Linked DNA regions of Macaca fascicularis. The protein of the gene in region 2 interacts with the protein of the main gene of each other region in a pairwise test. Links are inferred from orthologs where the notes say so. Each region holds a gene or a part of one and is shown on either strand. Other genes may lie near its edges. The genes, in order: NEDD4L, ARRDC3 and OTUB2.

Region 1 (10,114 bases), on a different chromosome or scaffold from region 2:
CAACCCACCATGACTGGCAAACCAGCGGCGGATTCAAGGGCACTGCTGGCCTCTTCCTCTCCTTTCATACGAGGAGGAACAGAAACACTGAGTCAGCACTGGTCAGGGCCGAGGACACAGCTCATCTACCCAACCGTGCCCAAGATATAGCTGGTATCACAGCCAGGTGACGTCATGGGGCTTTTTAACTCAAGTGAGCAAACACGAATGTGCTGCAAATGCCCCAAATGGACAAACACGCTTCCCAGTGGCCCATGTGTGTGCTGGTGTGTGGGCAAACACGCATACACTCTGGAGGTAGATGTGGGGTATAGGTACATTAAAAGAAAAAGAGAAGCGGAAGTATATTATAAGAAGAACATCAATTTTTGTTTTGTAGAAAATCCTGGCCGGGCGTGGTGGCTCATGCCTGTAACCCAGCACTTTGGGAGAATGAGGCAGGAGGATCACGAGGTCAGGAGATCGAGACCATCCTGGCCAACATGGTGAAACCTTGTCTCTACTAAAGTACAAAAAAAAAAAAAAAAAAAAATTAGCCGGGCATGGTGGCGTGTGCCTGTAATCCCAGCTACTTGAGGGGCTGAGGCAGGGGAATCGCTTGAACCCGGGAGGCGGAGGTTGCAGTGAGCCAAGATCGCGCCATTGTACTCCAGCCTGGGCGACAGAGCAAGACTTCGTCTCAAAAAAAAAAAAAAATCCTTCCAACTCTAAAATGGTCTAGGTAAAATTAATGTTAAATGCAACATGAAAACCCAAATCACTACTTGGAGAACGTCTCGAGTGTTCACTTGTCTGAGCTGTGGCGTCACTCATCCATGTCTAGGATGTCTGCCTGATATTCTTCCTATTGTTTTGACCTTTGCCTCTACCATTTTTATGAGGTCAGGAAACAGAGGGAGAGTGGATGAAGCTCTAAACATTCAGTAGCAGCAGTTTTTATGGGAAACACAGGCTACCATAGATCTTCAGCTGTCTCTTGGATTTAGTAAGTTCACACGAGTCCTGTGCCGGGTAAGCAGAGGCAACTGGGATTTGGATGTATCCACCCTAGGTACCATGGTCCCAGGAAATGTGAACAATAATATTTACTTATTACAAGAATTAGACAGATCAATGAACTTTTCAAGCAATTAAATGTCTCCTGTTGTTCACATGGAATGCAACACCCATAGAAGTGGCTGAGACTACAAACATGGCTCTCCAATACCTTCCCATAAGACACAAGTGCCTGGTGATGGCCAGTGTGTGACCTGCATTTACTCACCACAGATTCCATGTCATTCAGGGTTATCTGCTTTCCCAACATCATCTTGTAAAATGGTCTAATGAAGAAACCTAAAATACGGTAAACACTGGGTTTAATTTCAGGTCTTTGATACTGCTACGTTATCAGAGCATGAAAGAAAAGATTAACTGGCTTTCAATGTAAATGAGAAACCAGGATGGAGTAACCAACGGCCTTCTGCAGTATTGCACGAGTGAGGCGGCGAGATCGGGGGAGAGTGGCAAGAGGAGGGCGGCTGCGCTGAGAGAGATGGCGCAGCAGAGTGGGGCCAGAAAGGCCTCTGGAAGGTGACAGATGAGCTTCAAGGTCAAGCAGAGTCCACAGTGCAAATCAGGCATAGGAACTGGGGAAGAAAAGGGTACACTAAGCAGAGCCACAAGCCTGGGGACTCGCCAGCAGTTTGCCAGGGCAGGTAGACAGGCCAGAGGAGGGGCCGGCAGTGCACAGCCCACATGGGGTGCTGGAGAGTTGGGGTGCTCTCTGAGGGCAGTGGTGAGTCAATGAAGACCAGGTGAAATTCCATCTGTCTTTTGTTATCATTGCTCGGGCAGCGATGGGGAGAAAGCACAGGAAGGAGACAGGTTGGAAATGGGGGAGGCCACGGAGAGGGCCTGTGTAACCTCCCGGGGAGGGATGGCAGAGGCCTCAGGTAGGCAACAGCAGCGAGGTCGACCTCCCCCCATGCAGGCATCCTGCAGGGGCCTCCATTTGACCTGATCTAAAGGCATCACACGTCTCCTCAAAGGGGGCCCTGACCACACCAGACCTGGCACCCCAGGCTCCTGCTTCTGCTCCTTTATCCGCCCACCAGGCACCAACCCTCTGCAGCACAGGCCAACTCTCCCCGGCTCAGTGTGGCCCCATAAAGGCTCCAACAGACTCCATTGTCTGGGGAAGTAAAAGCATGAAGCCGACCAGGGGGCGCAGTGGACAGATGTGCAGAATGAGCCCTGCCGACAGGGACATTCCCATCTGTGGGAAATTTGAAGACACTGCTGACTAGGCCCATCTATGTGCACGTGGACTGTTAAATGTGCAATTCCAGGTTTATATCGTGATCACTCTCATGGGGGTCACTTTAGCCAGCTCCTAGAGACCCTGGTTCTTGCTTCTGCCCATCTCCTTCCACAGAGCCTGGACTCTGGGCCAGTCCTCACTCATCTGAAATGATCCCAGCCTCTGAATGCTCAAATGCTACCCCACCTCCGAGGTGTAGCTCTTCCTGGGAAAGATTCCCCGAGCCGCCGGCCAAGTCACTTTCTCTTCTGAGGACTCAATGTGTTCCCTTCTGCTCGGACACTATCACTGTGATTCTTCTGGTTTTGTTCTCATCTCTTTTCCCCCCACTAAAATATAAGCTGACTAAGGTCAGGATCATATCTTGTGCTTCTCTAATACCCCCTGTTATAGAGAGTATTAAAGACGCTGTAGCAACTAACAGCATCTTCTCACTTGCATATGGTGACTAAACTGACCTTCTGAGAAAGTTAGAGTGAATTTGAGCAGGCTGAAATAATCTGTGGCAAGACTACAAAGCTGGAAATTAAAATATATTCACACTATACATACATGGAAAGAGTATGTGGTTTAGTTTCCTTCTAGAGGAAAAAAAGTGTTTACTGTCACCCTCCCACCAAATAAAGCATTACAATCAGAGCATCAATATCAGCTACCAATTAACAGTAAAAACATATTCATGGGAAAAGTACAGAGGGTATACAAATTATTTATTAGAATAGCTAGGGCTCCATAAATGCAATGAACACAGTTCCCTTGGAAATATCTTTCTTGTAAGTTATTGCAATGTTAATCTCAAATTCTACTCTCCCTCTTCCCATCCTCAACCACTCTACCTCCAAGCTCTTAAAAAATATTTCTGATGCTTTTTCCTTACTGATGATTTCTGTAGTGTTTTCTTAAGGACGCTATTTTGAATTGGCCAAATCTTTTAGAAGTCTCCAAGCCTATAGATAATGCCAGGTAGAGGGTTTGACTTCTAACTTTCAAGGTACCTTGAAATTCTTCCATGATTTACATGCTTTAAATAAGAATGAAATTATTTTGTGTTATTTGTTTCAGGGTTAATGTCTTAGCTGAGTGGTAACATTATTTTGAAATTATTTAGTCCCTTCAAATTAAAAAAATAATTTGGGGACAAATGCAATAATCACACAATATTAGATGGATGAGATCATTTTAATTAACTTTTCAATTAGTTTTTCCATCTGTTATCAAATCTTGCTTTCAGTAAAGTTATTCCAGAAAACATACAAATGTATAAATACATAATGTTCTGTGCTTTACAATGAAGTTAAAAAAAAAAACTTTTGTTTTTAACTGTGTGTAGACATTATGTCTTCAGTGCCCAAAATAAGCTACCAGAGAAAAGCACATCCATTATGGGCGAAACATAAAAATACTTTATGAGTAAACCAGTGAAGCTTTTGCTTAAAAACTCATGATGCAAAAGATAAGACACCTACCAGCAAACCACAAGCGGCACTGACCTATTTTTATTACTTCAAGACTTACCATCTAAGAGCTTTCCATGAAATACGGCCAGACCAGCAACTCTTCCAATAAAAGTGAAGTAGGACAAATGATCTTCATTACAGAGGCCTGAATTAGGGTTGATCTGAAGAGTGTAGTTGTCCCTTTTGAGGAGAAAGAGAAGAAAAGACCAATCACACTTTCAAATGCAAGATTTTGCATATTTCTTTGCCACCTGTCACTCAATTTCTACAGTGTCCTTGCAAGCATTCTGTACCTAGTGGGAAAAGGTGTGGGCTAGAGGACCTGACTTACCACCTGCTCAACCATGACCCACCATGGAAGCTGATGCATGTGTACTTTAAAGTCAATTAAACCATAAGAAACTGCTGATGTTTGACTGTTTCTGATCCACAAAGTGTCTATTTCCTATGGTTCAGCCAAATATCTTGGGGAGATAAGAAACTCCACATAATAAAGGGGCTGTGCAGGCATTCCCAATGATGTGGGTACTTTAGGTCGTGTCTGTGATAAAGGAAGGTTAATTCCTTCCAGAGGCTTTTGGCTTGGCCATAAGATGTATGCTATGGGCCCAACCCTTGGTCTGTCTTCTGACCACTACTCTGCTCTGAAAAGGCCTCAAGGGGATTAGGAACAGGATATGGCTCTCTCAATGAGGCAAACCTGCAAGTGTTTAGATTTGTCCAAATGACCTTGCTTGGTTCACAATTATGTGGATCAGTGGTTTTCAACCGGGGTCACAGACAGTTTCCTCCAGGGGGGTATCTTTGAAAATGTGGAGGAGAGGTAAAGATCTTGTCTCTCCCCACCCTGCCCTCCACCTTCAGTAGTTGGATAAATTGTCCATAGTGGGCTTTCTCATGGGACTCAGTAATAATAACAACAGACCAACTGGGCAATTCTTGGCTAGAGCAACTGAGAAGAATGCACTGAGGTTGCCTTCCAAATGAGCCCCCAGGAGATTGGTACCACATGGGAGATGTGGGAGAACCCACGTCCCCTTAGGGCCCAGGGTTAAAGTGATGATAAATACCCTTCAGCAAGGTCAGTGACTATTCTACTGAGGGCTTGGGTCCAGCCTAACCCTTGGAGGATTCAGAAGAAGGAATGGCTGGCCTGGAAGTAGCCGATCTTTGGTTGCTCAGAAAGCAATTTAGTCTGCCTCAGTTTCCAAGCCTGGCAATGATGAAATCCTAATGCAAGGGGAAACCTGATTCTTTCCTCACAGGAGCAGGGCATGGTCCTAGGTCCTCAAAGTCCTTACAATTTGCCTTTACCCAGAGACCTCGGAAACAACTCTTGTTCAAAAAACACCTTTTTGTTTTTGCATTCTAACACTGACAAGTCCTCCTTTTGAACACTGCAAATGAAAATCGCCTCCTATTCCTTACCACAATTATCCACGTTTTCAATTTCAACTCCATGAACCCATTAGATAAGAAAAAAAAAATCAATGTTAGATGTTCACAGAGTACACTATTTCACCAGGTAGAGTCAGAACCTGTTCTAGACTTGCAAGGGGCTGTGGGGTGAGGAGAGAATAAACTCAACAGACTTACTGCATCTTGAACTGGTGAGCTGCTTATTCTTTCATTCTGTTTAAATTCATACAACTGTCTCAGTGGGGGACACACTCTGGGTGTGGCCATATACTTACGTGGCAGAGTACTCAAAGAGGCCGTAGTAGGGGTTGAACATCTCTTTGGACAGTAAGAAGAACCATTCTCTGGCCACACCCCCGTAGTCAAGACCTTTCTCTGATTCAAACTCAATCCACAGTCTAGCTTTTAGGACATCTGGTCTTTTCACGGACATAATTCTCCGATAGGACTCTTCAAATATGTTATTTCTGTGAAGTTTCATTTCAAACCTATTGGGGATATCAGCCTACACAAAAGACAAAAGAAAACACACACAGTAAATACACGTTTTGTTTTCTAATAAAAACAACAACCAAGGGTAGGAAAGTTGGCAGTCCTCAAAGAAACGAGCAGTGACAAATGGTTCCAATTGAGAGTCTCTCCTTCAGGGGTTTTCCCTTGCAGACAGAAAGCCTCGCTGTGTCACGATGGACACACGGCATCCGCTAGCGATGCTCAGGAAAGTCAGAAACTCTGCTGCGAAGGAGAACAGCCTCCTCACCCCCTTTAATAAACAACTGTGGGCACTCCTCCAGCATATGGCAACTGAAAGGCAGTCAACTGTACCTGTTGCTTCTCTCAAGAGACTTTAGCCCAGGTAATCAAAACCTGTAATAATCCCCACCTGGCCAGGCTGGGGCCATGCTCAACTCTGGCAGGGCCGCGAGGTGGTAGATATAATCCACGGTGCCTCAAGTCCATTTTGCAGCCATGGGGAGCGGGACCCTGATTATGCCAAGTGTGGGGAAAGCAGCCCAAAGCATGGTTCGCTTGACCAAGGCTGCGGCAGCTGCCTCCTGCAAAGAGGCAATCCAGGCTTGGTCTGGCTGTAAGAATGAAACTGCAGAGATGTTTTCCGGGTAGCAGACACTGCTATGTGAGAGTCAGAGAGCCTGGGTGATGACCACAAAGTCATTATCATTACCAGGGGACGTGACTCACAAAGAAAATTGTGGAATTTTTAGTATTCATCTAAGTTTTGAAGGCAAATAATCATTTCAATAGTAGTTATCCATGAGCTCTTGAATCAGGACTTTGGAACAGAGACCAAAACTCCTAAATGAGATCAGAGATTGTGCCCCATCCAGAGACGTCCTGGGCAGGAGGAACCGGCTGAGGGGAGGAGGCAGGGAGAAATGGCAACAGAGCCCAGGCCACCGGAGGGGGTCTGAGCTGCAGCTGATTCTCCCCCCTCCCTAGAGGTGTAACCATAGTGATGGAGAAAACCAAAGAGAAAACTGCTAAGGAGGAATTGGAAAGTAAAACAGAAGATGCAATGTTGAACAATTTGGGGGTGGTGAGTGATTAGAAAATCTAATGTTATAATTTAAAACACTGCCCATAAAAATTTTTAGAGTTTCTAGGTTTGAAACTGCCAGGGACAATTATAAGCAGAAAATTACATTTGCACCTAGTACTGCCAATTACTATAATTAAATATAACTTTATATTATAAATATTGTAGCTGAAACTAAGCTTTTGCATTTGCAAGGAAGGACCTGAACATTTTTCTAACTGGGATCCAGGTTTATTAAATATGATAACTGTGCATAACTGAATGGGTTTCCCCAGATTTTGCGACTAGGGTTCTGAATTATTTCATATCCCATAAAAATCGTTCCTGTCTTTTTATGTATTACATACGAAATTACCCTTCAGGTGATTTGATACATAATACTGAGTTAATCTTCACTTACCATTTCTGTTAAAAAGAAAATTCAGATTTCAGAACCAGGAGGATCAAAGTGCAGTGAGAAAAGGAAGGTAATATTTTTAGCATTCATCTAAAAGTAACAACCAAGTTGTTCTCACTGAAGTAACTGTGGTAACTTACAAATGACTAACACAAAGCATTTTTGGAAGGCATGATTACTCACAGGTTTCTTTAATTTCTTCCTGAAGTAGTCATATTTCTGCTTAAACTCTCTGGAGTAAGGAACAGCCTGGAAGATAAATTTATGAATATAGATAATGCAAACAATACACTTGAAATTCTATGTATACTTAGGCAACATTCAAGAGAATTTCATGAATCATAAACCGTAAATTCTCACTTCTCAGATTATCCATGGAAAAATCAGATCATGTCTACACAGCACAGGGGAAAGTCCTAGAACTGATGAGGACTAATCAGCTTTGAGTGTGGCTTTCACCCCTGAAAACAGCTATACTGCATTTGGGAAACCATTTAGGGATATGCTGCACAAACTAAACATGGTTTCCAAGTGACTTTTGTCAGAATGTGAGTCAGGGTGCTTCTGTTTTTCTTTTTTGCTGTGGTTTAGGTGACAGTTATTGGCTAGATACTTTTAACATACAACCCCAGAACGACCTATGTTGGCATTTGGAAAAGTCTAATTATGATTTAACAAATTTTTGTGGGGAAGTACAATGAGCAGAAAGGGAAGTGAACTGACACTCCTATCAAGGAGTATAAAATCAGGCAGATGGCATTCTCAAAAAATCCTCAATTTAGGAGTCAGAAGGTTTGTCCCTTAATATTTAGTGGTCTTGGGCAAGGATTTCTTAAATCTCAAATGCTTTATCTATGAAACAGAGTGATGGTACCACAGTTGAGGGCTCAGGAATTAACTATGCTCATTCAAAAGCTGTGATTTCTCTTCAGGCAAAGGAGTAACATCTTAATATAGTCATTTAAATAATCTTTATTTCCTATGTTGTAAAGTGGCTTATAGTATCTTAAGAGTCAGAGCCCTGACTTTTGGCTACTGAAAAAGCCTAACGATATTTTTATGAAGCTAAAAGGACTGGTTTTTGTATATACAGAGATATTAACTATGACAGCCTCGAAAACAACTCATTGCTTTTTAGACACTAGTATGAATTTCAGCAGAGAATACTTCTGCTGTTATCATTTTGGCCTAAGTTAACAAAATATACTGATGCTTAGTCTGATATCTCCAGACTCCAAACCTTACACTTTTACCATACTTATCTTGACCAGAAAGAGAAGAAATGAAGAACACGAACTTCCCTTCTTTATAGTTTTAAGACATGTTTATATAAAAAACTAACCCGAAACAACACAAACCACCACTCTTCCAGAAAATGAACATGTCAGTGTTTCGCTCTGTAATTCAAGAGCAATAAATACACCATCTTTATATAGCTTAGGAGCAATCCATAGACAATTTATACTGCCTATGGTCTTTTCTTAGTTTTTAAGCCAGTCTTCTTTGATTTTCCACTGAACAACAGATTTGACCTCACATGCTATTTATTTTAGGCAGTGTTTAGTCTGATGAAATCACATAGCAATTCTGAGTCTAGGCAAGGTATAAATTTGTTAATAACTGGACAACCACCGAAATAAGAAAAAGAATACAATGTTCCAACATAAGCCAATAAAGAGATCATGTTTTCTGCTCTACCAACAGTACATCACGTCACAAACTAAGACTTCCTCTCTAGTTTATTTCCCACTTTCTGGTGTTCATTCTGATCCATTCAACCGATACTTCTTGAGCACCTACTCTGTGCAAGGCATTTTAGGTGCCAGAAACATAACAGTACATAAAGCAAAGGTAGCTTTCCCAGTTCCCTCCTGGAGCTCACAAGCCGCTGAGAGCAACAGGTAATTGGAAATCAATGAATAAACCGTGGTAGTGCCATGAGGAAAAAAAAAAGACCCCATAGGAACTAAAAAAGTGACTTCCTTCCATTGCCCCTGCCAGCGTTAGAACGCCTGAACTCTCGGGTAGATCTCATCAGCTGGCTCTGCAACACACTCTCTCTACTAAGCAGTTTCTTCACTGTTAAGTGGAAGGATTTGACTGGATGAACAGACGTGACTCGGCTCTTCTATTTCTGAAAGTCTGTGATTCCCAGCAATTATTTTTTGTTTGTTCCTGTTTTCATGAGGGTTCTCCAAACATCATGGTTACATCACAGTTCCCCCTACTCCTGAAAATGCTGGAAAAAAAGCTTAAACAGTCATCACTATGTATGCAAGTTCGACTGTCTTAAATGACAGCTTCCCCAAGGAGCAGATTTCAACATGTGGCCCTCGGCCTGTGATGCCCATTCCCTCACCTACTCTGTCTCCTGGCAGGGGCTGAGGAGGTGTGGGTGGAAATGTCAAGATATTTCAGGCCTTTCTCCTTCTGGGGAATGATGTGTGAAAGCTGAAAAATCACTGTCTTCCTCCTGTACTCATTATCTTTCCTCTCCAGAGGTAGTTCTCATGATAGAAGAAGAAGAGTAAGTTTCTACATTCTCTTCCTGAAAAGTTTCTAAAAATGTACCAGGACAAACATCCTCCCAGCGCAGCTTCTGAAGAGATTACATGTACCTTTTTTTTTTTTTTTTTTTTTAAAGTAGACCAAATCATTTGTTCTCACTTGAAAATCTGGAATGTCATTTTCTGGCTTACAGTTTAGCTTGTAAAATAGGTCTATGTGAAAAATGAACATGTCTATTGATTAAAGCCCTTTTGCTCTGCGTTAAATCTGTGTTCATGTTTTGGGTACAGAATGAAAATCTGCCTTATTGTGTAAGTCGGTTCTAAATGTTTTCACATCATCACTGTCCAGGTGACACTGGAGCTCCTTGCACGGAAGGGCTCGTGCCCGGTGTGGGGACATCAGTGACACCAGTGCATCTGGGGCTCTGGTCCTGATTCCGACCCTTGCAAGGACTGTCAGCAACAGAATCAGCT
Region 2 (10,214 bases):
GCAGGGGGTTGACTTAATGACTTTAATGGGTCTCTTCAGCCCTTTCATCCCTGGGAGAGTAAAATTTTTCAAAGTAGATATGCTATATAAGCTACATATGCTATATAAAATTATCAAAATGTTGTCCAGGAACGGTGGCCCACACCTGTAATCCCAGCACTTTTGGAGGCCAAGGCAGGCAGATCACTTGAGGCCAGGAGTTCAAGACCAGCCTGGCCAATGTGGCAAAACCCTGTCTCTACTAAAAACACAAAAATTAGCAGAGTGTGGTGACACAGGCCTGTAATCCCAGGTTGAATCCAGGAGGCAGAGGTTTCAGTGAGCCAAGATTGTGCCACTGCACTCCAGCTGCACAACAGAGCTGTCTCAAAATAAAATAGTCAAATGTTTGAAAAACATTTTTTTTTTAATATTTTTTGAGACAAGGTCTCACTCTGTCACCTAGACTGGAGTGAAATGGCACGAGCTCAGCTAACTGCAGACTCAACCTTCCAGACTCAAGTGATCCTCCTACCTCAGCCTCCTGAATAGTTGGGACTACAGGCGCATGCCACCATGCCTGGCTAATTTTTGTATTTTTTGTAGAGACAGGGTCTTGCTATGCTGCCCAAACTGTTCTCAAACCACTGGACTCAAGCAATCCTCCCACCTTAGCCTCTCAAGTTCTGGGATTACAGGCATGAGCTACCACACTCAGCCAGAAAATATTTTATTATAGCAAGTAAAATTTTACCCTCATTATACAAAGTTGTGCATAGTCAAAATTTATAAAATAGTTCAGAAAAGAAATTTAGCATTCCTAATTCTTTCTGTAGACAGACGCCATTTGAGCTTAGATGAATAAACCTTACCAACTCATCTTCTACATGATAATATGCACTGTCATAGCTTAACTGGCAATGCTTTTCTTTAGTTGTACATCTAGATGAAAATACACCAAAATGTTAACAGTGGTGTCTCTGAATGGACAGACAGTAGAATTATGGGTGATTTTCTTTTAATCAAGAAACAAAATATAACAGATTAAATGGTGTTCACATAACACAAATTACACTATTTATTAATGAAGGAGAACAGAATCCAAATTTGATAGTAATTTTCATCACAAAATCCATAACATATATAAAAGTCTATTAACTATGAAGAATATAGAAAACGAATCTACTCATTTTGCTAATAATAGCAAATCTTCTCTCCAGTCTGCATGCCAAATTTGCTGCACCATGAGAATATTAAAGAGTTAAGTCAGAGTTACAAAATCTCCAGAGTTAAGACCAAAGGGGAAGAAAAAACCCTTAGTTTCATAGCACTCAGCCTATCAGCTGCTAGTTAAAATACAGTAAGCATAGATTTCATATTTTTCTTTATGAAACAGATTCTGACTACTGGTAGGGTTTTTTTTTTGTTTTTTTTTTTTTTTACAACCAAACAACAAAACTTCCAGTTGAGATGGCTTCCTTTTTTTAAAAAAATAAAAATATTGAGCATGTTGATATAATATGCAAAAAACTCCAAACTTGGCAGTAATCTTGACATATCTCCTCAATATCATACACCTTGATAGCAATGATCATTTATCAGTCTTTGATAGAGTTCTTGAGATTGAGTTCAAACTTTAATATATTAAGGTGAAAGAGCCATTTGACTCAAAAGCCAAAAAGCAAATATGAAAAGAGATTCCTACTTAAGCTCTGAAGAAGCAATGAAAGGGGGATAGGAAGTTAGTTATTCAGTCTAGTTGGAATTTTACTCAGTTGTGCCAACTGCATCTAGTGGAGGGATTAGAAAAAAGCAAAGGAGATAACATAGTAGTGGGATGTTATTCTGGGCACCAAAAGCACGTGTAAGTGCACACTGGCAACAGTGAGACAAGCTAACAAAGGGGACAGAAGATGTACTTGACAGGAATATAGAAGAGTTAGCAGATGAGTAGGCGGAGATGGCATATGAGACGTAGGCTGGGGAGCAGTAGGAAAGAGCCTTGGTGGTAAAGACAAATAGTTTAAATATAATACAAAATACAATAAGGGCCCGGTGAAGAAAGCTGAGAAGCCCAAGATAATGTCTACAGTACAGCATTTCAAGCTGTCTAAGAAGTAGATATTTAGACAAAAAATCTGAAAGGGGGAAGTTATGAAAGCAACAAGAGAAAACATTCAAAATCTGGTCCAAGTGTTTTTGTTTTTCTTTTAAGAAATGAAAAGATAAAGAGAGACCAGGAGCGGGCAGCTCAGGTCTGTAATCCCAGCACTTTGGGAGGCCAAGGCAGGCGGATCTCTTGAGGCCAGGAGTTCGAGACCAGCCTGGCCAACATGGTGAAACCGTCTCTACTAAAAATACAAAAATTAGCCGGGGGTGGTGGTGCGTGCCTGTAATCCCAGCTACTCTGGAGGCTAAGGTAGGAGAATCGCTTGAACCTGGGAGGTGGAGGCTGTAGAGAGCCAAGATTGTGCCACTGCACTCCAGCCCAGGTGACAGAGTTGAGACTCCATCTCAAAAAATCAAAATGAAAATGGTAGCTGGTAAGAATTTCTTGGAAATTTGCCAGTTACCTAAGTATTTAAGAAGACACAGTAAAAAGAAAATTTAAAAAATAGCAAAATAAATAATAAAGACAACTATTCAAAAGATCCTGAAAGCTTCAAACACAAAGAATAATGTACTATACAGTAACAGGAATGAAACATTTAATATTTTAAAACAATTTTCCAAACTACAGATAAATTTCTTAGAGTTCTGTTTTATTAAATGCAATTCTGGTGTATTTAATTCTTTTTTCTGAAATAAGTTATATTCTAATTAAATAAATTTTACTAAAAAAATCTGAATTCAGCTATTGTTCACTAACCCTTAATAATTTTTAACATAAAGGTAGACACAAATGTGCAATGAATTTATGTATTCATTGTGGACTACACTTTTAAATCCATTCCTTGCTCAGTGGTTTTTGAATGCTTATTAAGTATCATTGACATTATGCTGAGGAAAAGCTGTCATTCTAGGAAATTCACCACTTCTACCACTAGGTGGAGAAAAAACACAAGTAGTATCTGTAATCAAAGCTAGTACAAGGACTCAGGTACTTTACCTAGAATTTCCACCAGGTGTCAACCAAGAGGGGGGGAAAAAGATAAGACTGTTTTTTCCACTTAAATATGCAAATTTATAATTTTACGCATAGCGATCTAAACTCTGAAATAAATGGCCTGCTCATTGTCTAGTTTGCATATTTATACTTTTTATATATTGCTGTTGAGTCCAAGATACTGCCTTGTCAACTAAAATCCAGCCCCCAAAAGCTTAGTTTCTTTTGAAATAAAGAAAACAGCAAGACCAATAAGTTTAGTTTATTGTGACTCATAGGTTCAACCTACCCAAATACACTACGCAAAAGAATCTAAAATGTTTAGACACGGACAGCCAAAAATCTTCCAAGGTATTTTTGTTCATACATATATAGAGAGAGAGAGATAGCACCAGATTCATATTTTTTCTTTCTACATTTCTCTTGTAAGGCAGTTCTGTTGATTGCCAGTAATCTAGATGAGTTTATGCTGTTATGCTCTGAATCCCAGTGTGATGTGACGAAAGCACTGCTATTTTTTACCAAACATTCACAATAAAAAGAGAAATGTACCTATATTTAAGATGTATCATGAGAATTACTACGTTAAATGGTCCAAGGCTCTTTCGGCCGAAAATTAAAGCTTCACAGTTAACCCCTATTTATATACCAAATCATGCTTTTTAAAAACAATTTTATGCGCTTCACTAATTTCTAACAAAGATTTTCCGATTCTGTTGCAAACAATATGTCAGCTAAACCACTATGTCCTATGCCTTTTATAAGATGGTACTTTTTTAGGCCGAACTCTATTCTTATTCCTCTGGACACAGGAGTTGTAATCATGTCTTACTCTGCAAATCTAGCCGTAGGTGGTGTCTTAAAAAGGACTTTTTCTTCCTTCGAGGAAGTGGTCAAGCTTCCCCCCAGCCCCCACCCGTGTCATCCTGGAAACAACTTGGTTGTTTTTCGGTGCTATCTAATTAAGCGATGTAGGAGAAAGAAGTTGAGGAGACAAAAAAGCCTATTGATTACATTGTACTTGCTTCTCTACCTCGCTCTTCAAAGGACTAAGGTTCCTTTGACCTCGACTGAGTTCATTTCCACCCTGCCTACAAAGTACTGGTTTAAAAAATATATATATATATCCAAGCCAAGTATGCTCTTGTCTATGAACAATACTTCTTGTCCAGTTTTATTACGTTTTCTTTGAAAATTCGTTAGATTATGCTCAACAATCGGCCGCTTGCCCAACCGGTTTCTCCCTTCCCCCATCTCTCTTCACACATCACTTTTTCCTCCTCCCATCCAGGCAGTTGGTAAAACGCTGCAGTGCCAGTAACGCACGCTTTGGGGTGGTCACTGCAGTTTATCCTTACTTGGCTTTGCAAACTCCCCACCCAGGCCTTGTCCCCTCGCGCCCCACTCTGCCATTATCTTTCCAGTAGAGTGTGCTCGGTAAGGGGCTCCAGATAGCACGTCGAGGGTATACGGCAGCCTGCCTACCAATAGGAGCCCACAATGAAGAGAAGTCAGGTTCAGCCGGCCGGCAGCTCCAGTATCTCCTTCCCCTAACTCTACACCTACTGTACCCGGGAGCGAGCGAGCAAGGGAGGGAGCGAGCGCGGCGCGGCGCGGCGCGGGAGGGGGCGCGCAGGGAGGGCGGACAGCAGCCGCGGCCTGCGCTTGCGCATTGGGGTTGTTTTTCACAAAGCTGCTCTTAAAGTGAGCTGGCAGCCTTTAGCCGCCCGTCTTTGTAAGGAGACCACTGAGACGAGCGGGAGCGCGGAGCAGCAGCTTCTGCTGCCCTGACTTTTTAAGAAATCTCAATGAACTATTTGTAGAGAATCACTGATCCGGCCTGCAAGCATTTTGCACGGCAAAAATATCGATCAGTGTTAAGTGAAGATCACATTTTATATGCGATCTTGACTTTTTTGTCTTACATTATATTTTTATAGATTTTGTTATAAACATGGTGCTGGGAAAGGTGAAGAGTTTGACAATAAGCTTTGACTGTCTTAATGACAGCAATGTCCCTGTGTATTCTAGTGGGGATACTGTCTCAGGAAGGGTAAATTTAGAAGTTACTGGGGAAATCAGAGTAAAATCTCTTAAAATTCATGCAAGAGGGCATGCGAAAGTACGCTGGACTGAATCTAGAAACGCCGGCTCCAATACTGCCTATACACAGAATTACACTGAAGAAGTAGAATATTTCAACCATAAAGACATCTTAATTGGGCACGAAAGAGGTAAGTTTTTCTGTTATTCAGAAGTCATTGGACTCATTTTCTTTGGAAACGTACCTTTTCAGTTTTCTGAATTAACGTGATTCTACTCATAGTATAACTAAGCAGTTTGATAAAGGTTAGCAAAGTTGGAAGGTTTGGATTCTCCTTGACGTTCATCGTGTGTTAAGCCGTAATGCATGCAGGCATCTGCAAAGTGACTGCAAACTACACTTATTCAACTACCTCTATACCCGGCTTGGTCTGTGCCATACGCGCTTGTAGTCCATTTGCACCTTATAAATTCTGCTTGAATCCAATGCAATCGTTTTACTAATATATTTTCAAATGAATTGCTAAAAGCTGCAGTCTTAGATTTTTGCCCTTTTACTTGCAACCTAAGATGTAAAAACTAAACTTCAATCAAGAAATGTAATAACATTTTTAAGAGGCTTAATGGGCGTGTTTCATTTTTAATTTTGGAATGCAAAAGACTTTAAAGAATTGATCACTGTGCTTTCATAAAAGGTTTATGTGGCTTATTTTGACATATGGTATCAACACCCCACGTGTTTTTTCTCTATTCTTTCCCATTCCTTTAAAAATTTACACCCAGCATTCCTTATTTTAAAGGGTACTGTCTGTCATTATGATAGGTATCGAGTCAGTTTTAGAAGCCATTTAGGATCAGTAATTTTCTTTTCCGAGCATCATGTCTAACTTTGGAACGTGCATTCAATGAAACCCATGCCAGTCAAATGGAATTGAAAAGTATAGGGCACACTGGATTTGATTTTTGGTTAGAAGAGGGAGATAAAGGGTTGTCAAAGGGAGAAGGAGTCCTGAGATTTCCAATCTATTGTTTAAGTGGTTACATTGTGGAAATATAGGAGAGTCTAGGCTTGTTTTTCTAAGTTTCCACCCTTTGTTAGAAGCGGTTCAATCCTGTTTCGGACCAGTTCTGGGGGGTGGTGAGGAGGGGCGCTTGTTCTGCTCTCAGCAGATTGGTTACACGCGTCAGGTGGTGGCGATGACTTAATTCCTAGCCCAAGAAGAATATAATGTTAAAACTGGTTATGTAATTTTTGTGCCTCTCCTTTTTAATGCAGTATTTAGTTCAGATGTTGGCGATTTTTCAGAAAAAAATTAGAGCCATATTTTACCTTCTTTTTTATATTAAAAACGTACATCCTGGAGAGGTGCTGATGACTGAACTAAGGCAAGTGAGAAATGAAGGATGCTTTGAGGGGCAGTATTAATGCATGATTTCTGAAACTATTAAGGTGAACTCAGTTCTTTAGTAGGATTTTCGTAGATACAGGTACTTTGCATCCTGAAATAACTAATTAATGTCTCCAAGCGTTAACACTGATAGGAGATGCAGATGCCTAATGACAGTCTTGGTATTTGTTGAAAAGCAGATAGATGAGTTTGTGTTTCTACCTTTCTGAATATTGCAGCCTTTTATGAAATGGGTGAAAGAAACAGATTTTTCTTCAAGAGGTTGAGACTTGCAATGGGAGAAAAGTAGAACAATGAGTTGTGAGGACAAATATTTCATTAGTTACACCATGATTTCATGGTAAAGAAAACTAAATGCCCTGCACCCCCAACAAAATGCCCCCCCAAACCCTGCAACGCGTAGACGAGCTCAGTCTGGAATAGTTTCAATGACTTGAAACTGGGAGCTCTCAAACTAGCCTGGTAACTGAGACCCCGCCCCGGGCGCCCGGGATAGGCGGAGCCAGGTTTGTTAGCCTGTTGCTAAGGCGATGGCAGGCGCTGATTGGATTGGGCGCGGGCGGGTGGGGAGAGGGGGCTCGCGCCGCTGCTGGGGCGAGGCTAGGAAACCGGCGTGCGCCGGTAAAGGTCCCTCCAGAGCCACCCCCACCCAGTCCATACTCACGTTTGTTCCCGGGCTTCTGGGGGCGCCCGGCCCGTGTCACATCACGTTCTATCGCCCCTCTTTTGGGCCTGCTAAGGACCATCGAAAGGAAACGACTGCAGGCTTTAGCTGAGTTGAGGGCAGACGCTCCTGCCGGCCTTACAGGTGCCGGATGGCCCGGGACCCAACTTTAGTGGAAAATCCTTTTCAGATGGAATTTGGATGGGAAGGGTTGGCAGGACCCCCGTTAGCTATCTGCCGGGTAGGAGGTGTCAGGGGACTCCTGTGAACGCTTCTGAAACAAAGCGTGTTCCCCGACCTCTCCAGTCGCCACACTGGCTACCTTGAGTTGACCTGAGGGGACAGAGCAGAGGCTGGCCCGGGGAAGAAAGAAAATGATTCCAATATCGAAATCTAGGTGGGGGCTTCGAAGGGTATCCTCTGCCCCCTCCCCCATTGTTTTCCGAAAGCTTCAGGCCCCCGCCTCCCCTCGGCCGCCCCAGTTTCCCTCGCGGAAACTAAAGGTGTCAGAGTGGCCCGAGCCAGATCGAACCGGTCGCCGGCTGGGGCGTGTAAAGCGGAAGCGCCGCGGCTCGCTCGCCCCGCCCCTCGTCCAGCAGGCTAGGTTGTGCGGGCACGGGCGCGAGCGCCGCGCGACGTATGCCGTATGTATAGCGGGGCGCGCGGGCGGCGGCGGCGGCGCGCGAGCAGGCCGGCTGGGATCTGCTCGCGCCGGTTTAGGCCGGTCCTCTCCTGCTCCGGTCTAGTTCTTGATTGACAGCCCGGCACTTGTTTACCACTGCGCGGCCGCCGCCGCTCGCCTCAATGAGACTGCTGAGCTGGCACAAAAAGGGAGCGAAGAGGGAAGAAAGGGAGAGGAAGGCGAACTTTGGGCGCCTTCGAGGGGAGCGAATTTAAATGGCCCCCAGCTCATCAGCTAGTTTTTGGTTCTGAAATCTGTTCAGGGGATTTGCACAGGGGACGAGGAAAATTGTATGGAGACATATGCGAATTACCGTGATTTTTAAATAAAAGTATCGACGTATACATGCTTTTCCCCCCTTTTCTCGTTTGATATCAGGGAGGCATCACGTTTTTTGTGTATATTCAGTACTTTGCTGAAGAAAAGTTAAAATAATATGCCAGTTTTTTCTACTCTGGGGGCTAATCGTAAAGGTTTCTACACCGAGAAAACTAAAAGATATTTCTGTAATTATTTAGAACGCTAAATAAGCATTTTAATTATCTAGAACCCCCTCCCATATTTTCGATTATATTTCTTTATTTTCATGCCACTTGAAAAACAAATTTGACCCAAAAAAATGGTTGTAAAATGAAAGGTCATTCCTTTTTTATAGAAACTGGAAACTGTTAATAATTAGACTTCATCTTCTTCAAGAATGTCCGACAATATTGTTTCCTTATAAGCAGGCACCTCCTAAATGCGGTTCTTGGTAATGATCTAAGGTATAGTTTATGCAAATTTTAATCGTTGCTAGGACTGAGTATTGTGATCACTTTAGGTCAATAAATAATTATTTTTAATTACAAAACTGACATTAAAATCAATGTGTGTGCTCTTTTTTTTTTTTTTTTTTTTTTTTTTTTTTCTCCATCTATTTGACAAAGTTTTCTAGTGGTTTTGGAGTATCTATTCTATTCACATCTTTGGCATTATTCCCCCTAAACTGACATATTTTTAAAAGGGTTGCACGAACAGTTTTTATTTGATACATTGTAGTCTTCATGCGATAAATTTAAGCAAACAGCTGGAGACAAAGATAACATTATCTTACCATGATGTGAGACCCGAGCCTTTTGAGTATATATACTATTTTATCAACAGATGCTTTACAGTTTGGGTCATTTTCCATTTAAAAAATAAAAGTCTGTGGGGTGTGAGTATTCATTATCCCCATTTTACAGATAAGGCAGCTGAAAACGGGATTTTTATTTCGTCCAGAGGAAATGATGAAGTTAGAATTAGAACTCGGCTCTCTCAGACTCCAAAGCTTGTTTTGTGGTCTTAATTATTATGTAAGCATCTTTAAAGTTATGCCACCCTGCGGAGTATGTAAATGTCAAATAATAAATTCTTTGTTTTCTTTTTATGTTTCTTTTAGATGATGATAATTCCGAAGAAGGCTTCCACACTATTCATTCAGGAAGGCATGAATATGCATTCAGCTTCGAGCTTCCACAGACGTAAGTATTATAAATAATAGGCATTTTTATACATACCCATGATCAGAGCATTACTTTAAAATTAAGTATTCTAAATTTAAACACTTTTAGTTAAAAAAAAAAAAAAAAACCCTTTTCATGACTGGAACTTGCTAGAGGAAAACAATATATTAAACATAAGAAGCTATTTTTTAATCTACCGTGGCAAAATTATAGAAAGCATACTCAAATTTCAGTCTTCTATCCCAATGTTCATGAGGTTTTTAAAATAGGAATAGTGTTTCCTTTAACATGAGTGAATTGGAAGGTGCTAGTCAAATAATAACCACTTTATACTTAGTTTATTATCAATTGTCATTATGAGAAAAGACCCTATCAAGTCTCAGTAGCTTCAATTTATAAAAAGTTCTGTGTTCCACCTTTTCTGCTAATACTAACCAATAACTAACCGATAGCAGTAAGCTTCAAAAGTAAAAATAATTAGGAATATCCTAACTTTAGAAATGTTGTTCTCCTGATATGAACTTAATAACTTCTGTACAAAGAATTATTGGGAAGGTCACACAAGAGATATGACCCAAGCTTAAAAGGAAAAATACATCAAGGATACGTTGATACAAAACTTGGAATCTAGTAAGAAAGGAAAAAGGAAAGTGGTGTATTCTTGAATTAATGACAGATTGTTGGAAGAGATTATACAAACTTTTTTTAAAAAAATAATGCCTTTTAGCAAATACTAAAACCTGCAAAATGACACTTGTGCCGATTATTCTGGAGAATAAACAGATTACATAAGATTTTGTCAGGTGACAAATGTACATAATTCTACATTTGTTAATTCTAGTGCTTG
Region 3 (10,114 bases), on a different chromosome or scaffold from region 2:
CAAGGGGGGATGGAGGAATGGAAATAGGGATCAGGGATGAAGGGGACCAAAACCTGAAAAAATACCTTCCTGAGGCTGGTTTCCACAGCATGTCCTGAGAGTATGGTGAGCTCAGCTCTTAGGAGCTGAGAGGGCTCTGAATCGCTATGTAGTATTTTCTTTTCTTTTCTTTTCTTTTTTTTTTTTTTTTTCTGAGATGAAGTCTGTTGCGCAGGCTGGAGTGCAGTGGTCCGGTGGTCACGGTTCACTGCAACCTCTGCCGTCTGGGTTCAAGTGATTTTCCTACCTCAGCCTCCCAAGTAGCTGGGACTACAGGTGCCCACCACCATGCCTGGCTCATTTTTGAATTTTGAGTAGAAACGGGGTTTCGCCATTTTGGCCAGGATGATCTTGAACTCCTGACCTTGTGATCCGCCTGCCCCGACCTCCCAAAGTGCTGGGATTACAGATGTGAGCCACCACACCCGGCCCTATGTAATATTTTCCCTTAACTTGGCTATTTTAAAGAGCTTAAGTAGATTTGTCAAAAATGCAAAGTTTATGTTAATAGAGCAAGTGGAAACCTAACTTGACTTTCCTGGCATAGGTGCCACCCTTGTTCCTAATCCACCTTTAAATATTCCTCATTTTAACTGGTTTTGTTTGTTTGTTTGTTTGTTTGTTTTTTGAAATGGAGTATCGCTCTGTCGCCCAGCCTGGAGTGCAGTGGCATGATCTCGGCTCACTGCAAGCTCCACCTTCTGGGTTCACGCCATTCTCCTGCCTCAGCCTCCCAAGTAGCTGGGACTACAGGCACCCGCCTCCACATCCAGCTAATTTTTTGTATTTTTAGTAGAGACGGGGTTTCACCGTGTTAGCCAGGATGGTCTCGATCTCCTGACCTTGTGACCTGTCTGCCTTGGCCTCCCAAAGTGCTGGGATTACAGGCGTGAGCCACCACGCCAGGCCCCCTCATTTTAACTGTTGATGGCAGTTTTCTGCATTGAAGTACTTATCTCTGCATGTTGAAGATTAATTGCTTAAATCCATTCCACTCCTCCGTTGATTACCTTCTCAGACACTGCAGAGGAAATGTAACAGATTTTGTGTCCTCCTTCCGCCATTTTGGTTTTGGTTTTGGGCAGTCCACACACCAGCAGTATTAAATATAGTTGTTCTACTGTTTGATCTATGATTTAAAAAGACCCAAGCCACCATTTTAAGTCAGCTGTCTATAAAAACAACAAGACTTTTATATAGTATAAACAAATTGTTAGATAAATAATGAGACTTTGAAATGAAGTCAGAGCATGAGTGCAGAGCAGGTGCGCTTGCTTTTCAGTATTACCTGTTTGTCCTTCTACCATCGACGCAAGGCAGCAGAGAGCGAGCTTTCTTTCTGAAACGTACAGAATCCTATGAATATTTGCTGTATTAGCACGCAGTTATGAGTGCCAAATTAATTGTACAACTAGCAATTGTTATTATGCTAGTAATGTCAATCTTTCATGATTTAGAATAGACAAAAACATGTTAACTTTTTATAAATTTGCCTTTGAAGTCAATAAATCTGGCTTGGTTTAAGTTAAAAGAAAAAACACAAATGAAAATGGAATGATTTTAAACTCCGAGTCAGAGGCCTGCCCAATCTGGAGAAGAGAGACTAGCAAAGTAGAAAGGAGTTCAAGGTATGCTAGAGGCTGTCTTTCTCCTTGACACGATTAGAAGACTTGAAGGAAGTGGAAAGGCAAATCACTTTCCTTCCAGATATCACTGATGTATTTTACCGCCGTGTCTGGATATTGCCTGTAAATCGTGTCCTGTTCCACCTGTGATGAGCATCTCTTGGGCTTGAAAACTCTGTTGTGGACACTGAGCCCCCAGGATCAGAAGCTGGATGGAGAACTTTCCTGGGGGAGGCCTCAGGGGCAGGAGGTCGGGACCTGGCCTGTTGATAAGAAGGCCCTGGGCTGCCCTGCATGGAATGTCCCTTTGTGTTTAGCAGCCTTGATCCCTCAAGACCTCTGCGTTCTGCCTACCTAGCAGTTTGGCATGGTAGAATTTCCATGGGCTTCAGAGTCAGATAGATCTGCCTAAAATTGCTTCTTAGCACAGGGCACGTGACCTTGTCAGTAGAATGGGCATAATACCCATCTCAGGAGGTAGTTGTGAGGATTCAGTGAGATAATGGGGACATGTCAGCCTCTCTCCCCGAGCCTAGCACATAGTATGTGCACAATAATGGCACCTGTTATCACCTCATACCTCTTGGGCCTAGGGTAGCAGATCGCCAGATCATCTTCCATGTGTTGACTTTCAGCCTCACACTCGCAGGGTGGCTGCTGTAGACATTGCATCTGCACTAACGGCGGGAAGAAGTAAAACACTCCCATCTCTGTTCCTTTTATCCAAAACCAAAAGCTTCCCCAGAAGTCCCCAGCAGACTTTTCATGGGTCCAGCTGGCCAACCTCAGCTACCTGACTGCCCATAGCTGCAAGGGAAGCTAGGAAAATGGGAAAGAGGTAGGATTGTTGTGACTTACCCAGTCATTTTTCATTGTGTTGTGGGATTCCATTAGTGGGGAGGAAACGGGTCGCGGCTGATAAGGCAGAAGCCCTCGGCACCTGCCCCCAAGTGTTACCTGATTCCTCCTGATGGTTTTCCTGTTGCTTTGCCAGCCCGCACTATGATGTCAGGGCAGAAGGAAGGAAGGAGTCTGGGGCTGGATTAATTTAGCAAACAAGGGTGGGTACAGCATGGAAGCTTCTAGAAGCAAAATCCAGAATCCCTTCTTCCAACCCCCCAAGTGTTTGCATGCCCTGTTTCCACTTTCGGAAGCATTCTTCATCCAGTTCTTCTTCTTTTTTTTTTTTTTTTGACAGAGTCTTGCTCTGTTGCCCAGGAGTGCAGTGGTGCGATCTTGCCTCACTGCAACCTCTGCCTCCCAGGTTTCAGAAATTCTCTACCTCAGCCTCCTGAATAGCTGGGATTACAGGCACGTGCCACCACACCCAGCTAATTTTTTTTGTATTTTTAGTAGACACGAGGTTTCGCCATCTTAGCCAGGCTGGTCTTGAACTCCTGATCTCGTGACCCACCCACCTCAGCCTCCCAAAGTGCTGGGATTACAGGCATGAGCCACCGCGCCCGGCCAGCCCATCCAGTTCTTTAGGACAATGGATTCATCCTCTGTTTTTAAGCTTTCTTCTGGGAAGTTGCCCTGAATCCCATGTTTGGGGGAGATCATGTTTGGTGCCACCAGAAAGGGAGAAACGGAATAAAGTGTAAGTTCAAGGGAGAGCCCAGGACCGACTCAGATGAGGTGAGGAGATCAGGGAGGCTTCATGGAGGAGGTAGCTTTTATGCATTTGTTTGAAGAATATCTCACCCCCTGCTCTGTGCCAGGCCCTTGGTGAATGGAAGATGGCAGACAGTATGACAAGCTGTCATCCAGGCCCCCTAAAAACACCCCTGCCCAGTCCCAGCTTCGCCCCTGACCTGATACTGGATGCAGGGTCAGGGCCAGATGGAAGTTTGCAGTCTGTCCCATGTGGAGGCAGGAGCAACAAAAGTCATTGAGGCCTCATTATCCAGTCTCATGGTCCAGCTTTCTGCTTCTGTGTGCTGAGCTTTGGAAAAAGCTAATCATCCAAAATCCAGATCTATTTCTTCAGGTGAAGAAAGGGGTTTGTAGCGTCAGAGGACTCCTATCTGAGCAGGATGGTATTGGGTTGAGATCATTATCTAGTCAGCGATGAGGCTGAGAGGCTACCAGGGAAGGCCACTGTGGCCAATGTGACATGAAAAAGGCCAGTTACAACTGCATGTCAACAATGATGGTGATAAATGGATGGAAAACTAGATTTCTATTTACAAAAATCCCAATTAACAGTGACCATCCACAGTACTCTATTGCATAAAAATGGTCTCCTCTGGTTGTGTGCAGCAGCCAGCCTCACTTGTTTTAAGCTATAAACTGTAAGTGGCTTTAACACCATTTCTCTCACAGTATGTTCATGCCGCAATCAAAGCGGCTTTGGGTGGGTTGGAGGCTAGAGATGCAGCTCTCGCTTGTTTGAGCCCTGCTGACAAGATAGCACAAGGCGGAGACCAGGCCCACGGGGAGCTGGCTGCTAGAACGAGGTATCTCCTGCAGTTTCCTTCACCCCGAAGCTTCCTTTTGCAGTTGCCTCCTCCCGGCCCGCCAATTTCTTCGCAGGCCTGGAGAGACCCTGCCTGTAGGAGGCTTGTCTTTCTGGGTTGGAATTGAGCTAGACCTAGAGCTGGGTTGTAGTATAAACTTTCTCCGCTAGGTGGTGCATGAAGATGCCCTCCCGCCCTGTGCTCCCTGAGCTCAATCTCTTGACACCTTCCCTGGCATCTCCGTGTACCAGTGCCACACAGTGCGGCCTCTTCTGGTGACCTTATCACCCCCTATCTTGATTGTTTTTCTCTGTAGACTGTGAGCCTTGTGGGTGGGGGAGTGCTAGACGTTCCTCCTTCTGTATTTCCAGCATGTGACACAGTGCTGGGCATGTGGATGTTCAGGAATTGTTGGATGAATCAAAGAATGAATGAATGAATGCATGAATGAGAGAGGAGGGACGGAAGGAGACAAAGGGCCTTATCCTCAAGCCTGAAGGCTCATTAGGTTCGAGGTACACATTCTGTGAAATGAATCAGGCTTCAATAACAAGATGAGTTTCCTTATAACCAGGGCTATCTCTTCACGATGGCCCTGACCCTGACGATCCCTGTCCTAGAAATGTGGCGATCCCAACAGGCGTCTAGGATGTTGGTAACATACTCCCAGCATGAGAAGGTAGGAAGGTCCCATTCATTGTTGTCTGTAACTGGCAGTTCAGAGGCCACCAGCTTGCGGAGTCCCATCCGTTGCTTTTGAAATTGTCACAGTATTTCTTCCTTCCCTATCTTCCAGAGTGAAACATCTTTCAACCTAATATCAGAAAAATGTGACATTCTATCCATTCTTCGGGACCATCCTGAAAACAGGATTTACCGGAGGAAAATCGAGGTGAGGCAGAGGGCAGGGAGAAAAGCATCCTAAAATAAACAGGCTGGAGTTGGGAGTGTAAAGGTGATGCCTCTTTGAAGGCCAATAGTTTGGGCCAGGTTCCTGGGCAAATGAAAGGATTCCTAGGATATTTCGATGTTGGACATTTGCCTTAGCAATACATCCTTTCATTCCAAAAAAAAAAAAAAAGGATTTTTTGTTTAAAAGTTTAGCACTATCCTAATGTTTTATTTACTCACTGAGACTTCACTACAACTCTGTGAGGTAAGTACTTTTATTACGCCCATTTTACAGCTGAGGAAACTGAGGCACAGAAATTAAATTGTGGCCATTTAGCTCATGAGTGGCCAAGCTGGGATTTAAATCCAGGCAGCCGAGTCTCAAGCCACATTCGTAACTGCTGTGCCAGGAGACCTCTTGGAGGGAAAGTGTACTCCAGTGAGGCTAAAGGGATTTGTGGGAAGGCTGCAGGGATCGCTCACGGAGCGGTGACCCGTGGGTAGCCGGAGGAGCTGGGTACCCACTCTGTCCCTCTGGCAGCAGGCCCCGGCTGCTCTCTGTACTCTGCAGGACTTCCTTTCACTGCAGGACAGGCTTGCTCTGGCACTGGCCCCACAGGCCCTTCTCTTTGAGTTCCTCTCAGACACGCAGCACCATTGCTGGACCCCGTTACTTATCCTCAGAGACTCTGATGGGTCCAGCTTGGGTCAGATGTCCATCAGCAGCCAGGGGTAGTGGTGTGGGCATCATGTGATCGGAACGCCGCTGCAGGGGCACTTCCAGGACAGGAGCTGGGCTCTGCAGCCCGCTGATTTTCGTGTCTCCCGGAGCCCTCCTGGGAGAAGAGCCAGGGGCTCCAGAGAGTCCCTGCCTCCCCACTGCCAGCTGGCCTCAGGTGGGCCCAAGTCAGCTCTGAGCCTTCTCATGGCTATGGGGGGAACACGAACTCCCAGACCCCTTGAAAACCATCCTCTGCTGTCAAAACACTGCTTATAGTCCCATGAGGCAGGAAAGGGGATTCCAGGCCAGTTCAGAGGGACACCTACTTATTGCTAGGAGTGGAGCTGGAGCCTACCCCTCCCTCCCCTGCTCACACATGCAACCCCCCAACCCCTACTTCTGCTGGCTCCCGATTCTCTGTGCTGCTCCCCCAGGAAGGCTTCCCCAACTTCCAAAAGCCAGTGCAATGCCACTGCCCTGTGGCACCCAGCCGTGCACTCCTTCTGTCCTCACAGTGCCACTGTCTAACTATCTATCTTCCCTCCCGGACTGTAGGCTGCCGGGGGGCAGGGACGGACACACAGGACAATGCAGTGTATTTTTATATCAGGGGGATGAACGAGGGTGGGAGGCTGAGGGGATAGCAGCCTGAAGGGAGGGAGCAGGCATTTCCTGGGAGAGATGGGGGGCACCTGGCTAGTCCCAGCACCTAAACCACACAGAGCTATTATTGGTGCAAATGCCCACATTTCTTTCTGTCCCCTTCAGGAACTCAGCAAAAGGTTCACCGCCATCCGCAAGACCAAAGGGGATGGGAACTGCTTCTACAGGGCCTTGGGCTATTCCTACCTGGAGTCCTTGCTGGGGAAGAGCAGGGAGATCTTCAAGTGAGTGCCGGGGCCCCTTGGGCTCTCAAGGCTATGTTCTCTGTGCTAGGTCAGCCCCAAGTCTCTCGGAGGTTTTTGTTACACTCGGGCTGGTTAACCCAGAGAGTGAGCTGAAGGGCTGCCTGGCAGAGGCGTTTGATGTTGGGGGAGCCCAGCTGCCTGCTGTGGTGGAGTTGGAGGCAGCCAAGGGGTGGAGGATGGAATCTGTGGCCTCCCAGATGCTTTCCAGCCTCTGCTTCCACCACAGGCCTGGGTCAGCCCAGGTAAGTCGCGTGGAGCAGGTGCTTCGTGACCCAATCTGAAAAAAGAAAACACGAACAAAAAGAAGCTTTGCCCCGGTGTTCGGCATAATTCCTGTTGACCTTGGTTTAGAGTGTGTGTGACCCAGGCATTCAGCTGTCTGGGCCTGGCCCTGAGGTCATGCTGGAGAAGGTCTGTGTCCAGAGCTGCCCCTATCCTCTCGGCTAGTTCAGGGTTTCTCATACCTGAACATTTGTACAAGGCCCCTGATTCTCTAGTCCATAGCAAGATACAAAAAGCAAAGACAAACAAACCCCTGAGACCTGGCTAGGACGCAAATTCCTGTTCAGGGGGAGCAGGGCAGAGCCGGGACTGCTTTCGTCACTGCCTCCCAGGAGATGCTGATGCCGCTGGGCCTCAGACCACGCTTTGAGGAGCAAGGAGCTAAGAGACCCACCTGGCTCTTAACCTTTGGGGGTCTCAGAGCCCTTAGAGGCTTTGGTGAGGGCCGTGGGCCCTCCTCATCTGAGACCCGCACCCAAATGCCCTCTGGAAACAGTACGGGGGGCAGTGGGTCACAGAGCACTTCTTTGGCTAAGGCAGGTTTCTCACCAGCGGCATGACTGATGTTGTGGGCTAGATCATGCTCATGGTGGGGGCTGTCCTATTGTAGGCTCATTAGCAGCATCCCTGGCCCCCACCCATGAGATACTAGTAGTAACCCCTTCCCCAAGTCATGACAATCAAAACTGCCTCCAGACACTGCCAAGAATCTCCTTTCGGCGGAAAAAAAGTTGACCCTATCTGGTTGAGAACTACTAGGTTAAGGCCATCATCTCCTGTTCAAAATATAGATGATCTCAAAGAGGGTAGAAGTTGAGCCATCTATTCCTTGGCTGAACCGTTCAGATTGTTTCCCCAGTGACAGACTGGCAGAGCCCCTTATGATGAAGAGTCAGCTATCTCAAGCCATTCCCCTCCCCAACTTTCTCAGAGCCCTGTGGGAACCAGCGCAGCACAGTGCAGGGATTATGACCCCAACGTCATTTCCCTATGACCCATGTGCCCTGGAGTTGTGCCACGCAGCAGCCCTGGGCTCTGAGGTCAGACCTCACTCTCTTGCTTACTTGCTGTGCCACCTTGGGCAAGTGACCTGACCTCTCTGGTCCTCAGTTTTCATGTCTGTGGAAGGTGGACATTATAACACACTTCAGGATGCTACTGTGAGGACTCAGTGGGTGATGCTGGTCAAGCCCAATGCCTGCATCTCTCTCTGCACCAGCCCACGTGCTCTGTTCACCTTTCCTCTGTCCTGTCTCCCTGCTCGTCAGCACACACGGGTGCCATGCTCAGACCCTGCTCTAGGCTGTGGGGATACTGCAGTGAACAAGAGAGACAAAAATCCCTGCCTTGTGGGGCTTGCGTCCTAATGGGAGAAGATGGACAGTACATGAGTATCATGTTTGAGGTGTCAGATGGTGATAAGTATTGTGGGAAAAATCAAGCAGGAAGGAGGCCGAGGAGTGCAAGGTCTGGCGTTGTCTGTTTCAAGTAGGGTTGGAGAGGTAAGGGCGGCAGGGCACATAGCACCTCAGGCCTTTCTAAGGACCTTGGCTTTCAGCCTGAAGGACGCGGGAGCCACCGAAGGATTGTGCAGCACGGGGACCTGCCCTGCTGGCTGCTGTGTGCAGGACAGATGGGGGCGGAGACACGGCCAGGGAGATGTGGTTGGCGAGAGATCCAGAGGAGGAGATGGCCGTGGCGTGAGCAGGTGGATGCAGTGGGCATGGCAAGAAGTGGGCAGGTCTAGACACCTGTGGAGGTGGCAAAGACAGGATTCGTGCCTGACTCACATGTTGGACATGGCAGAGTCAAGGATGGTTCCCAGAGATTTGGCCTGAGAGTTAGCAGGATGGAGAAGCCGTTTGCTGCAAGAGAGGGCTGAGGAAGATCAGGAGCTGTGTTTTGCGATGCTGTCTGAAATGTCCAGGAGTCATAGAGTGGGGGTGTCTGGTGGGCACTGGAGGTATGAGGCTGGCGTTCAGCAGGCAAGCCGGGGCACACAGGTGGTAAGTCAAACCACAAGGCTGCATGAGACCACCAGCATTTTCTCTTCCTTTTTTTAAACATTTTCTTTCTCTCTTTATTTTTTCTTAAGAGATAGGTCTTGCTATGTTGCCTAGGCTGGCCTCGAACTCTTGGGCTCAGGCGGTCCTCCCTCCTCAGCCTGCATCTTCTTACACAAAAACCGAGACCATGTCACTCACAGGCTTGAAATATGCTCCTGACCTCTAGGAGCAGTGGAAACCCCTGACACCAAGGCCCTCCACACCAGGCCCCTGCCCCTCCTACCCCATTGCCTGCCCACCCTGAGGTCTAGGCACAAGGACCCATTTATCCCACACATACCAGAGCTTGTAGGCATGACATGCCGCCTGATGCTGCCTTGGCCTAGGTAGCCCTGCCTCTGACCTGGCTGTGGGTTCTTCGGGCCCCAGGCAGGTTGCTTCACTCACTCCTCTGTAGCTCCTTTCCCCAGCTGAACAGTGGCCATAGCCCTGTCATGGACATTAAGTGATTGACTCGTGAGTACTTGGAACACTGACTGGGGTGTTCTGTGCTAGCTCTGATTGTCTGCATCATGCATCCTCCACAACCTGCTGTCTCCTTGTGTGCAGCGAGCCCAGAGCCACCCAGGCAGACACTTGTTCTCTGCTCAGTGCTGCTGCAGGGCTGGAGCAAGCGTGTTGCAGCAGTATGCTTGTTCCAGCCCTGGATCTGGCATACTTGCTCTAGAAGTATGCAAAGTACTTCTGTGTGCCAGAGGCTTGGAGAACACGTGCTTCCTTTGAGGGCAGCCACTGTTACTACCCAATCTTACAGATGAGCAAACAGAGCCTCATAGAGGTCAAATGACTTGCCAGAGGTCCCACACAGGCTTGTGTGCAGCCCCAGCTGTCTGAACTTGCCCCCCTGCCGAGCCCCAGTGCCATCCTTCCCCACATCCCTGGCTTGCCTCTTGGGGGTGCATGTCCTGGCCTGGGGGCTTGCCCCCTTCTAACAGGGCCTGTGACCGCATGCTGCTTATCTCTGTGTCCCCAGTGCCTGGCACAGAGGGGCCCACAAGTCACTGGCAAGGAAAGAATGTGGAATGAGGCAGAGGTTTGGGGGTGGGAGTAGGGGCAGGAGAGCTGGGAGCAGAGCAGTGCACTTCATGGCCATGCAGGGACAGAGTGGTCCGAAGAGGGTGCG

What was found.
Region 1: the proteins of ARRDC3 (region 2) and NEDD4L interact in binary tests that used the Homo sapiens proteins (3 or more experiments, as listed by UniProt). The link is inferred for Macaca fascicularis from reciprocal best matches to the Homo sapiens genes ARRDC3 and NEDD4L.
Region 3: the proteins of ARRDC3 (region 2) and OTUB2 interact in binary tests that used the Homo sapiens proteins (3 or more experiments, as listed by UniProt). The two-hybrid records come from large-scale screens. The link is inferred for Macaca fascicularis from reciprocal best matches to the Homo sapiens genes ARRDC3 and OTUB2.

What each region holds. Positions count from the first base shown.
Region 1 is NC_088392.1:22,603,279-22,613,392, forward strand, and holds part of NEDD4L (E3 ubiquitin-protein ligase NEDD4-like), read right to left. Parts: intron 7,380-10,114; coding exon 7,314-7,379; intron 5,684-7,313; coding exon 5,454-5,683; intron 3,940-5,453; coding exon 3,818-3,939; intron 1,336-3,817; coding exon 1,265-1,335; intron 1-1,264. UniProt on the Homo sapiens protein: E3 ubiquitin-protein ligase that mediates the polyubiquitination of lysine and cysteine residues on target proteins and is thereby implicated in the regulation of various signaling pathways including autophagy, innate immunity or DNA repair.
Region 2 is NC_088380.1:95,373,509-95,383,722, reverse strand, and holds the start of ARRDC3 (arrestin domain-containing protein 3), read left to right. Parts: upstream 1-4,814; 5' UTR 4,815-5,039; coding exon 5,040-5,319; intron 5,320-8,342; exon of another isoform or gene 8,343-8,647; intron 8,648-9,303; coding exon 9,304-9,385; intron 9,386-10,214. UniProt on the Homo sapiens protein: Adapter protein that plays a role in regulating cell-surface expression of adrenergic receptors and probably also other G protein-coupled receptors.
Region 3 is NC_088381.1:162,048,856-162,058,969, forward strand, and holds part of OTUB2 (ubiquitin thioesterase OTUB2), read left to right. Parts: intron 1-4,919; coding exon 4,920-5,015; intron 5,016-6,503; coding exon 6,504-6,622; intron 6,623-10,114. UniProt on the Homo sapiens protein: Hydrolase that can remove conjugated ubiquitin from proteins in vitro and may therefore play an important regulatory role at the level of protein turnover by preventing degradation.